3 linked regions of the Canis lupus familiaris genome follow. The protein of the gene in region 1 interacts with the protein of each later gene in a pairwise test. Links are inferred from orthologs where the notes say so. Each region holds a gene or a part of one and is shown in the gene's direction. Other genes may lie near its edges.

Region 1 (3,511 bases):
GTGGTGTGGTGGCTTGCCTGGAAATCACAGCCGCGCCCACTGGCAAAGCCATCTTTGTAAAGGAACGTTGCCGGTACCTGTTGCCTCCAAGCAAGCAGAGATGGCACACATGCAGTGCCTTCTTGCCCCCTGGTGACTTCCTGGTGTGTGGGGACCGCCGGGGCTCTGTGTTGCTATTTCCCTCCAGACCAGCTCTGCTCAAGGATCTTGGGGTTGGGGGCAAGGCCGGAGCTGTCACTGGAGCACTTGGAGCAGGTAGTGGCAGTGGTGGGGGTGAAACTGCCTTGACTGAGTGGGGCCCTGTGTCCACCCTCCCTTCTCTGCATGGGAAGCAGGGTGTGACGTCAGTCACCTGCCACGGTGGCTACGTGTATACTACAGGGCGCGATGGTGCCTACTACCAGCTCTTTGTGAGAGGCGGCCAACTGCAGCCAGTCCTAAGGCAGAAGTCCTGTCGAGGCATGAACTGGGTGGCTGGGCTTCGCATGGTGGCTGATGGGAGTATGGTCATCCTGGGTTTCCATGCCAATGAGTTTGTGGTGTGGAGTCCCCGGTCACATGAAAAGCTGCACATCGTCAACTGTGGTGGAGGGCACCGCTCCTGGGCCTTCTCTGATACTGAGGCAGCTATGGCCTTTGCTTACCTCAAAGATGGGGATGTCATGCTCTACCGGGCGCTGGGTGGCTGCACCCGGCCACATGTGATTCTCCGGGAGAGCCTGCATGGCCGTGAGATCACTTGTGTGAAGCGTGTGGGCACCATCACTCTGGGGCCTGAATATGAGGTGCCCAGCTTCATGCAGCCTGACCACCTGGAGCCTGGCAGCGAGGGGCCAGGTCTGACTGACATTGTGATCACGTGTAGTGAGGACACTACCGTCTGTGTCCTGGCGCTCCCCACAGCCACTGGCTCGGCCCATGCACTTACAGCTGTTTGTAACCATATCTCCTCCGTGCGTGCACTGGCTGTGTGGGGTATTGGTACCCCAGGTGGCCCTCAGGATCCTCGGCCAGGCCTGACTGCTCATGTGGTGTCTGCGGGGGGCCGGGCTGAGATGCACTGCTTCAGCATCATGGTCACCCCGGACCCCAGCACCCCAAGCCGCCTCGCCTGCCACGTCATGCATCTTTCATCCCACCGGCTAGATGAGTACTGGGACCGGCAGCGCAATCGGCACCGGATGGTCAAGGTGGACCCAGAGACCAGGTGACGTGTGTACTGCGAGGCAGGAGCATGGGGTGGTGTCCTGCAGGGCAAGCCCCTTGCAGCTGCTCCCAGGCTTCCCCTGACTGCTGTCCGGGTGTTTTCTCTGCAGGTACATGTCCCTAGCTGTTTGTGAGCTCGACCGGCCTGGTCTCGGCCCCCTTGTGGCTGCAGCCTGCAGTGATGGAGCAGTGAGGTGAGTGAGAGCAGAGGGCCCTGGGCGAAGACAAAAAGGTTGGAAGGTTGTCCAGAATGGGTTCTGAGCTGAGCCACCCTCCGCCCCCCAGGCTCTTCCTTTTGCAGGATTCAGGGCGGCGGCTGCAGCTCCTGGCCGAAACCTTCCACCACAAGCGGTGTGTCCTCAAGGTCCATTCCTTTACACATGAGGCACCCAACCAGCGGCGGTGAGAGGGGCTGCATGGTGGCTGGGCAGGGGCTCCCATTGTTTTCCATCTTCTTCACTGACCCAGCTGCCCTTCCCTGCTTCCCAGGAGGCTGTTCCTGTGCAGCGCAGCCACCGATGGCAGTTTGGCCTTCTGGGATCTCACTACCGTGCTGGACCATGGCTCTGGTGCCCTGGAGCCTCCGGCCGACCCCGGGCTTCCCTACCGTGAGTAGCTGGTGTGCAGCCAAGGCTGTCCCTCCTGCCTCCCACTTTGTTTTCAGCCATGGGGCAGGCTGGGCCCTGACAACCATCTTCTTCCTCCAGGCCTGGGTACCCCCTGCCTGACCGTCCAGGCTCATAGCTGTGGTGTCAACAGCCTACACACCCTGCCCACACGTGAGGGCCATCTTGTGGCTAGTGGCAGTGAGGACGGCTCCCTCCATGTCTTTGTGCTGGCCATGGAGGCGCCAGAGCTGGAAGAAGCCATGGGGGGTGATCTGGTACCCCAGTTGCATGTGCTAGAGGAATATTCCGTCCCCTGTGCACATGCTGCCCATGTGACAGGCCTTAAGATCCTAAGCCCAAGCCTCATGGTCTCAGCCTCCATTGACCAACGGCTGACCTTCTGGCGTTTGGGTCACGGTGAGCCCACCTTCATGAACAGTACTGTGTACCATGTCCCAGATGTGGCAGACATGGACTGCTGGCCTGTAAGCCCTGAGTTTGGCCACCGCTGTGCTCTTGGGGGCCAGGGGCTTGAGGTTTACAACTGGTATGATTAAGGTATCCCGCGGTGGCCGGCGTGCTGGGCATGGGACCTGCTCGCAGACAGAATGGAACAGGAGTGACCGTCTGTGCTCATGCCCAGTGTGCCTTGAGAGGAGGAGGCGGCAGCCGCGGGTTCCTGACTTCAGAGCAGGAGCTAGAGGTGAGTAAGGTGCTGTTCCGGCAGGCCAAAAATACACCCTGGGGCTGGGCTTTGTATGTAACAGAAACAATTTATTTTGGCTTCAGGTCTCTACTATAATCTTTATATCTTTTTTCCAGGTGAAGATTTTGTAAACATTCCTAGATATTGGGGTCTCTGTGGCCTTAGATGTGGCTCAGTGGAGGGAGACCCAGCATGGCTAGGCCAGTGTGGAGCACCTCACGCACAGCCCGCAGAAGCTGGAGACGGGCAAACATTTGACCAAACAGGTGTGGTCGAGGCTCCTGGAGGAGAGAAGGGGCCTGCTGGTCTCATTCTTTGCTTCCCTTGCCCCCCCTGCAATCTCCCACCCCCTCTTGTTGTGTACTTACCCCTAGGATGTGTACTCGGTTATAGTACGAGCTGAAATCCATGCTGAGCTGGACCAGGAACTTGCACATCTAGAGACAGAGACTGAGTCACTGGCCGGTCTCTTTGATCTCGTGCCCAGCCCAGAATAAAGCATCGAGTGTGCAGTGTCTGTCCCAGTCTTCTCTGGCTCACCGTCTCAGTGCGCGCAGTCACGTGAAGCCCTGAGGCTGCACATGCCAGGGCTGCTGTCTGGCCCAGCAGGTCTGGGAAAGGGAGCACGCCATTGAAGAGCAGCAGCCACTCGCCCTGGGGGTGGGGGTGGGGGGGAGAAGGGTGCTAGGAGGGGAGGTCCCAACCTCCTGCAGGTGCCTAGCTACCCAGGAGGACACTCACCTCATCCTGTAGCAGTGAGAAATCGAGACTGCTCACAGGTGGAAAAGTGGGGTACAGACCTTGTTCTGTGCTGTGCTTGTACCCCTCAAATAGCGTGGCAAGCCGGGCACAGTTGTACATGACGAAGGTGCCACTCCTGGTGCCCTTTGTGGAGATGCTGCTGTCGGCCAGGGCCAGGAGAAGCTGAGGAAGGGGGCATGAGTGCAGCCTTCACACCCAATTCCGCTAGCCCCGATCCCGCATGGCACCC
Region 2 (4,056 bases), on another chromosome or scaffold:
CAAACCGACAAACAAAAACACCACATAACAATGAATGCCAAAAAAAAAAAAAAAATGAATGCCAGCATTTTCCAAATGTCTGAAGACCAGACGGGCCACACATTTTAATAGCAGCCAGGATGGGAAGACCTCTGACCTCTGAAGGCCATACACATCCTCCATCTCTCTCTCTCTCTCTCTCACACACACACGCACACACACACACACACACACACACACACACTCCTTTCAGTGGCTTGAACTTATATACAACCATGGAAAAAAAGGGAGGGTTGGGGAAGTGCTGAGCCAGCTGAGAAAACCTAGAATTGACAAATTTCTACTACCAGAAGGAATTAGGGCCTGGGAGAGAAAGCAATTGAAGCTGTAGAAGAAGAAAGCCACCTTTGTGGGCAGATCTGAATTCTAAGTCCCCAGAGTCACACTCCCTACAAATGTTTGTTGATTGAATGAATGAACCAATTGTGTTGGGGGAAGGAAAATGTGTTGCATGCAGCCAGTTCCTTGGTAGAGCAGGCCTGGCTGTTCTCCAGGGAAAAATAGTAATTACTCAAAAGAGTATCTGCTCTCTAGCCCTCGCTCAGTGCTTATCTGTTGTTCCTTGAGCAGGTCGCAAGGTTCGTTAGGACTCGGTTCTCTGATCTGTAAAATGGGCATAATGAAATCTGCCCCGCCTTCCTCTTATCAGGAGAACAGATGGAGATAAGGTATAGGAAGTTGCTGTACATGGACTGTCAATTAGGACATGTGGATCCCCTCGGTCTTGGGATTCAAGAAGCAAGAGTAAATGAGCTCAAGGATGAGAGTTGTGGGGTACCCCTCTCCTCCACCAAAAGGTCTTAAGAGCCCACAGGGAGCAGTGACCAAGTTTTCCCTGCGACCACAGTAGTGCTACTGGGAGGCTTCCGAGGACTGCACTCTCCACATCACAGAGCATACTTCACCGGGAAGAAATTCTCGGGGCACGAAACAGATTTATTTTCATTGTGAAATCGTCCGTCTGCTATGCAACAACAAATTAAGCTCTGGGTGACTATTCCCGTAAAACACGTCCTGTGCTCAGCGCTGCTATTATGGGGTGGATCGCCGAGGTAAAGAATCAATTAAAACTCTGACACATTAAATGGAGCTCAAAGACCTGTTTCACAGGTTTCCCCAGAGGAAAATAATCACGTTGCATTATGCTTTGGGAGCCGATCGAGGCAAGAGTCCTGAGACAGGTTCTGGGGTTTACCAGACAGACTGCGGCCTTTCTAAGTCATTCTCGAAGCGCCACTCGCAGCGTTAGGGCATTCCACGCTCCCTTCGTCCCGGGGCACCATGGTCGAGCAAGAGGGATTATCGTCCTGCGGGCATCCTTCTCCGGAAAACCGTAAGTTTCCTGGAAACAAAGCATTTAAAGAAATGGTGGAAATATTGCGGTGTTTGCATTCACGCCCATTCTGGAATGGAAGCAAATGTCAAGCAAGGAAAACCAGAGGCCTAATAAAACTGAATATCCTTTCTATTTTTATAATAGGGCTTTGCCACCCAAAGGGGGGTCATGGTTTAGAAGGTCTGTTTCCAGAGAAGTTCTAGGATTTCAAGGGAAGCCTCACAAGAGAAAAGGAGAAAGAAGAAAGAAAGAAAGAAAGAAAGAAAGAAAGAAAGAAAGAAGGAAGGAAGGAAGGAAGGAAGGAAGGAAGGAAGGAAGGAAGGAAGGAAGGAAGGAAAGAAAGAAAGAAAGAAAGAAAGAGTTAATGCTAGAATGGGAATAATGGGAATAACGTTTGTGGTCGCACTGCTCAAACCATGTTTCCATGACAGCCGGTAGGAATGTTAACGTTAAGAACCTCGTGTGTGCTGGGCTAAGTCAGACATCTGTGTAAACCATCTTCGATCTCAGTGCCTGAGTAACTTCTGTGCCTCAACCTGAAAGAGGAGAAGAGATGTGGAAGTTCAGGCGGTGTCTTTTCAGCAGTGTGGCCTGCAAATGAGCTTCACAGCAATAAAGAACCGGACGAGGCCAAAGCAAGGCGAGTGTCAGCAGTGACCATTGCCCAGGGGACAGGTTGCGGCCTGCCAGCGCCACAGGCGTGGCAGGAAACGGTCGGGGGCGGGGGGGGGGGGGGGGGACCCAGCTAACCCCTGACTTTAGGGGCTCACTCAAAAGCAGAGAAAAGGCAACGCGAGGGTGCAGTGTAAATGTCCCACTTGCTTTTAAGATATTTTCCCCCCAGGAAAGCGAGAGAGACAGAAAGAAAAGGAAACTCGGAGGGTTAGGACAAGACGAAGCCTGCCCTTGACGTGCTCGGCTTTGGTTCAGAACAGGACATTTTTCAGAGGAAATGCTCTCATGGTGCAGGAATCCGTTCGGTTAGGAATGTAAACTGTGTGACAACTCTGTCACGAAGTCAACCGCCAGTAGCTCTGCTTCTTCCTTTTTTCAGGATGAGGAGGTGAGAAGGAGGTGGGATACCCTCTTTTTAATCAAGCGCGCTACTCACTAGAACTTTTCATAAAGAAAGACCTTTTGTTCTTTGCTCACGTTGCTGCCTCCATCCTTAAGTTCCCCTTTATTGCTTGGGGGCGGGGGGGGGGGGGAGAAAACTTTTTTACAGAATAATATGTACCGGGTGCACAAATGCTTTCCTAATCTTTGTGGAACAGAGGTCTCTCACAGCTACTGAGGGGAGCTCAGAATGTGCTGGCACCTTGGGATCTTGGGGTCTTGCCAAGGTCCTTGGGGCTGCAGGAATAGAGGGTGCCCTGCATTCTGGCCTCCCTCTCAACTCTGTCTCCTCAAAGGGGTACCCCAACCCCATTGAGTTCACAGGAAAAACAGTGCCCATTGCTTTAAAGGAAACCAAAAAATTGAGTATCACTAAAATATGCAACCTTTTCATTCGACCGAGAAAGGACTCTAACTTGCCAGAGAATTATAATGAGTTAGCTAAAGGCAAATCAGCAATAGACGCCAGGCATATGGATGACTGGTTCTAACTGGTTCTACTACACTGGTGTTCCCTTCCCCTTGTCCAAAGGAGTCGGCAGGCTCTTCTTCACCTCACCCACTCTCCATCTCCACTTAGCTCGTTACTCATATTCAAAGCTTTACCGCATACACCACATTTTCCTCAAGGATAAAACTGTATTTAGTCCTCCTAGAGTCAATCCAGTTCCACAAATATTTTATTTTATTTAAGATTTTATTTATTTATTCATGAGAGACACGGGGGTGGGGGGTTGTGCGGGCAGAGACACAGGCAGAGGGAGAAGCAGGCTCCATGCAGGGAGCCCGACGCAGGACTCGATCCCGGGACTCCAGGATCAAGCCCTGGCCCAAAGGCAGGCGCTAAACCACTGAGCCACCCCGGGATCCCACAAACATTTTACTGAGCACCTTCTCCATGAAGTCCTAGGCCCCCCTGAGATTCACAGATGAAGAAGACACAATCCCTGCTCTCAGATACGTATATAGCCTGTTATGATTTTTTTTTAATTTTTTTTAATTTATTTATTTATGATAGTCACAGAGAGAGAGAGAGAGAGGCAGAGACACAGGCAGAGGGAGAAGCAGGCTCCATGCACCGGGAGCCCGATGTGGGATTCGATCCCAGGTCTCCAGGATCGCGCCCTGGGCCAAAGGCAGGCACCAAACCGCTGTGCCACCCAGGGATCCCTAGCCTGTTATGATTAAAGGCATCTTCTAATTGTACTATGACAGAAATTCACCTGAATATATGGTGCTATTGAAACACAAGAGAAAGGAGAGGAAGACAGTCTGGCAGTTCCTCAAAACATTAAATATCGAATTATCATGTGACCCAGCAATTCCACTTTTAGGCCTATACCCAAAAGAATTGAAAACAGGTACTTAGACAAACACATGTATATGCTGCACTATTTACAATAGCCAAAGATGGAAGCAATCCAAATGTCCACCATCAATAGGTGAATGGGGAAACAAAATGTGGTATATTCATTCCATGGAATACTATTCAGCCATTAAAAAGAAATGATTTCAAGGGCACCTGGGTGGCTCAGTGGTTGAGCATCTGCCTTTGGCTCAGGGCA
Region 3 (3,958 bases), on another chromosome or scaffold:
TACCTGGGTAGCTCAGTTGATTAAGCATCTGCCTTTGGCTCAGGTCATGATCCCAGGGACCTGGGATTGGCCCGAGTGGGGCTCCCTGCTGAGGAGGATGTCTGCTTCTCCCTCTCCCTCTGCCCCTCCACCTCCCTCATGTTCTCTCTCTCTGTTCTCTTTCAAATAAATAAAATCTTTAAAAAGTTTTTATTCTTAAGTAATCTCTAAACCCAGTGTTGGGGTTCAAACTTATAACCCTGAGATCAAGAGTTACATGCTCTACTGACTGAGCCAGCCAACAGCACCATGCTGTTGAGCAACTTTTCATGTGTTTATTAACCATTCACATATCTTCCTTTATGAAGTGTCCATTCATATTTTTTGCCCAATTTTTTTTATTGGATTGTTTGCTTTATATTTATTGAGTTGTTGGAGTTCTTTATATATTCAATGTACAAGTCTTTGCCAGACACATCTTTTATGAATACTTTCTCCCAGTCTGTGGCATGCATATTTACTCTTAATTATATCTTTTGATGAGTGGAAGCTTTTAATTTTTATGTAGTATAATTTACTTATTCTGGTAAAAGTTTTGTAATTGTACCTTTTACAGTTAGGTCTGTAATCCACTTGAAACTAGAATTTTCATGGTGTGAAGTTTGGATCAAGGTTCATTTGTTTTCCATATGGATATCCAATTTTTCCAGCAGTGTTTGTTAAAAAGATTTTTCTTTTCCCCATTGATTGCTTTGTTACCTTTGTTGAAAATCAAATGACTGGAAAATATTTTTCTTGGCTTTCTAGTTTTGTTCCATTGGTCTATGTGGAATTGTGTATACTAATATACTTTGGAAAACTACATAAAGTGCTTATTAGATATTGGCATACATAGGATAAACCTTTCCTATACATGTTTTGCTAGCATTGGAGATCTTTCTTATAATCAACTTCTAGCTAATGAATGACATTTGGAGGCTTTTCAGCATGATTCTCTACATACTCCTATGGTACTTTTCCCCATCATGTAAGGTTGATGTTCACTTTTAATTCTTTTATATTTATTTTTAACTATGAGAAAGCTCATTTAGGGCAGAATTCTGAGAGTAGGAATAACAAAAATATTTAGACACCTTTTTTTTTTTAAGGTAAACGTAATTATCTTACAAATATCTAGGCAGAACTTCATCACAGTGTCCACCAAGAGATGCCTTGGGTCCTTGCAGTGAGAAGGAGAAGAGGAGGAGAAGATGTAACCACATACAAAATGTAATTTAGAACCTTGCCCATCATATCAGTATCTCTGGAATAAGTGCCGGTCCTATTCAAATATTTATTAACACTGTGCTGAATGATACAGAATTTTACCCTTGGGGAGTTTGCCAGTGTAGCTGAAGAATTTAAAAAATTCAAATAAACATAATACAAAGTAATATGTGATAATGTTTGCATTAAGGTCATTGGTAAAATTTAAAATATTTTTATTATAGTTGTTTGTGTTGTGGACCTGAATCATTATTCTGAATTATAATTTTAAGTTTTAGGTTAATGTAATTACAATAGGGTTTTGTTTTGTTTTTTTAAAATATTCAAATGTCCAGCTGGAAATTTGAAAATTTAGACTATTGTATCTTTTTGGTGCATTATAGGATATCCTGTGATGACCTCTTTCCACTAAATGCCAGTAGTCATCTTAATCTTTTTGACAACTAAAAAACATTCCCTTCAATTTTAACAATGTTCCCAGACTTTAACTTGCTTGTTGAAAACTAATGCTTTTAGATGTGTGAAAGATAAGGAAATTAAGTACTACGGAAAGAAATAATTATGCAACTTATTTGTAATTTTGCAGTGACTAAATTTTATTAAAGTGGATAATTTGAAGCTTTAGAAATTAAGATGGCTATATTGTATGTTCTTATTTCTCCTAGTAAAATGAATGAAAATAAACCTGGTGCCTCACAGAATCTTGGTAAGTAAAATATTTAAGACATTTTCAAAGCTAATTTAAAATATTAAGATATTTTACTCTTGCTTTTTTATTACAATAAAACTTTTTGGAATGTTGACTGAAGGGGCACCTAGGTGGGTCAGTGGTTGAGCTTCTGCCTTTGGTTCAGGTCCTGATCCCAAGGTCCTGGGATCGAGTACCACATCAGGCTCCCTGTGGTGAGCCTGCTTCTCCCTCTGCCTATGTCTCTGCCTCTCTCTGTCTCTCTCATGAATAAATAAAATCTTTAAAAAAAAAAAAAAAAGAATGCTGACTCAAAAAGTAGGAATGAGTTCCTTGATCCATGCTTTGTTCATACATCTGTATACAAAAGTATAATATTATGTGTATTCATTTCAACAAAAATCTGTTGTAAGAGGACAGTTTGCCAAATTTTTTTTGTATCCTCTATATGTATTTTTCAGATATGCTTTGTATCTGAATAAAACAGCATTATTTATTTAATAAACATTTTTTTTCATCTTTTTGTATGACTTTCTTACATAAGGAAAAATGCAGGTGAGACCATTTTAAACACAAAACTTAATATGAAAAGGAAAACTTATCTGAAGGTGCTCATAACAATATCAAATAGATTCAGAGACCTTTGTCTTTGTTGATTTCTTCATTTATAGTTTGTACAGTATATGTTAATTTGCTAACATGGAATGTGAGAAATTTAAATTCTTATTTTATACTCTTCTGCCACTACTCCCCTCATCTATCCTCTTTTTAAGATTTATTTTTTTATTCCTTCACAAATTAAAATATTACACTTAAAACTATCTTAACCTTCACTGATAGAGAATTATTTGTTAACTCTTTATCATCTCTCCATCATACTGGATGAGGAAATTTGTGCTCTTACTTCTCCCTCTGCTTTGCTTTTCTGCTTTTACCTAGCAGCTTCTATCAACTGTGCTAATTGTTCTGAAACTTAGTAATTCATGGACTACCTTCATATATTTGTGGACTGCAAACACTACCTTTACTGTTATTTACTTAATATTTTACCTAAGATTGGCTCAGTTTTTTACTTATATGAATGTGTTTATATCATTATTTTAATACAACCAGTATGATTTGCCATAGTTAAAAGGTGATCTTAATACAATGAAGTCAGAACAATGTTACTGAATTTTAAATATTAAAATTAAAAAACAACTAAGTGCAAATACAAACAAAAGCAGTCTACTTAAAAAAGCATGCCTGTCTATTTTGTATCCAGTGTCTCCATATACTGGGTGAAGGGAGGAAGGGAACAAATGGAAAAGCTGCTGGTCCACAGCATAATAGCAAATGCAGCTCCATCCAGCGCTCATCATGAGTACTTCTGTTCTTCTGTTCTGTAGTCTCAGCTAATTCATTATATTCCTTTTCCCCTTGATAGTTGCATGTACACTAGACGATCTACAGAACTAGAACTAAAAATATAGGCACTGGAGATGAAGGAATTAAGATGAGAGCTGCTGGTATAAGATGTCCAGTAAACAAATGGCAATTTGCTGGAGTTGATGTGGTCAGAAAGAAAAGGAGTTGAAATCTTTTGAAAGATTGACGAAAGGGCTTTCGTTTGTGGCTTATCTTATTAACCTGTAGTGAGGGAGGGCAAATATAGAGGAGGTATTTTACAACATTAAATATTATTAGCTCATGACGTTTTTTTCCAGTCCTGGAATCATTTTGTGAGTAGCTTGTTAACGAACATACCATTTCATGTATAACATCCATTCTTGATTACATGTATTAGTTAAAGGTAAATAAGACTAACTGCTAAATAGGTAAATGCCCAGGTCTTACTGGTTTAGCACAACAAAAGTTTATTACTTCCTTATGTTACTATTCAGTGTGTGGTTTGGTTAGGGGAGTTGGAATAGATGGGGAGTTTCTGCTCCATGCAGAGATTCAAGCTCCTTTCATCTTGTATTGGTTTGCTGCCTTGAGATTCTCAGTCTTTTCTCTTCAGCTAGTGATTTTCTTATTGTTTTA

The links. The genes of interacting proteins can lie anywhere in the genome.
Region 2: the proteins of WDR6 (region 1) and PTPN3 interact in binary tests that used the Homo sapiens proteins (3 or more experiments, as listed by UniProt). The two-hybrid records come from large-scale screens. The link is inferred for Canis lupus familiaris from reciprocal best matches to the Homo sapiens genes WDR6 and PTPN3.
Region 3: the proteins of WDR6 (region 1) and G2E3 interact in a two-hybrid assay, tested with the Homo sapiens proteins (2 studies listed by BioGRID and IntAct). The two-hybrid records come from large-scale screens. The link is inferred for Canis lupus familiaris from reciprocal best matches to the Homo sapiens genes WDR6 and G2E3.

What each region holds. Positions count from the first base shown.
Region 1 is NC_049241.1:40,554,855-40,558,365, reverse strand, and holds the end of WDR6 (WD repeat-containing protein 6), read left to right. Parts: coding exon 1-1,207; intron 1,208-1,316; coding exon 1,317-1,400; intron 1,401-1,491; coding exon 1,492-1,608; intron 1,609-1,695; coding exon 1,696-1,814; intron 1,815-1,913; coding exon 1,914-2,371; 3' UTR 2,372-2,517; intron 2,518-2,567; exon of another isoform or gene 2,568-2,636; 3' UTR 2,637-2,681; coding exon of another isoform or gene 2,682-2,801; exon of another isoform or gene 2,802-2,888; coding exon of another isoform or gene 2,889-2,957; 3' UTR 2,958-3,044; downstream 3,045-3,511. Other genes in the region: DALRD3 (DALR anticodon-binding domain-containing protein 3), read right to left, coding at 2,682-2,801, 2,889-2,957, 3,061-3,174, 3,262-3,444. UniProt on the Homo sapiens protein: Together with methyltransferase FTSJ1, methylates the 2'-O-ribose of nucleotides at position 34 of the tRNA anticodon loop of substrate tRNAs. Required for the correct positioning of the substrate tRNA for methylation.
Region 2 is NC_049232.1:64,992,367-64,996,422, reverse strand, and holds the start of PTPN3 (tyrosine-protein phosphatase non-receptor type 3), read left to right. Parts: upstream 1-1,254; 5' UTR 1,255-1,320; coding exon 1,321-1,372; intron 1,373-4,056.
Region 3 is NC_049229.1:10,064,079-10,068,036, forward strand, and holds the start of G2E3 (G2/M phase-specific E3 ubiquitin-protein ligase), read left to right. Parts: upstream 1-1,156; 5' UTR 1,157-1,186; coding exon 1,187-1,248; intron 1,249-1,910; coding exon 1,911-1,951; intron 1,952-3,958. UniProt on the Homo sapiens protein: E3 ubiquitin-protein ligase which accepts ubiquitin from an E2 ubiquitin-conjugating enzyme in the form of a thioester and then directly transfers the ubiquitin to targeted substrates. Essential in early embryonic development to prevent apoptotic death.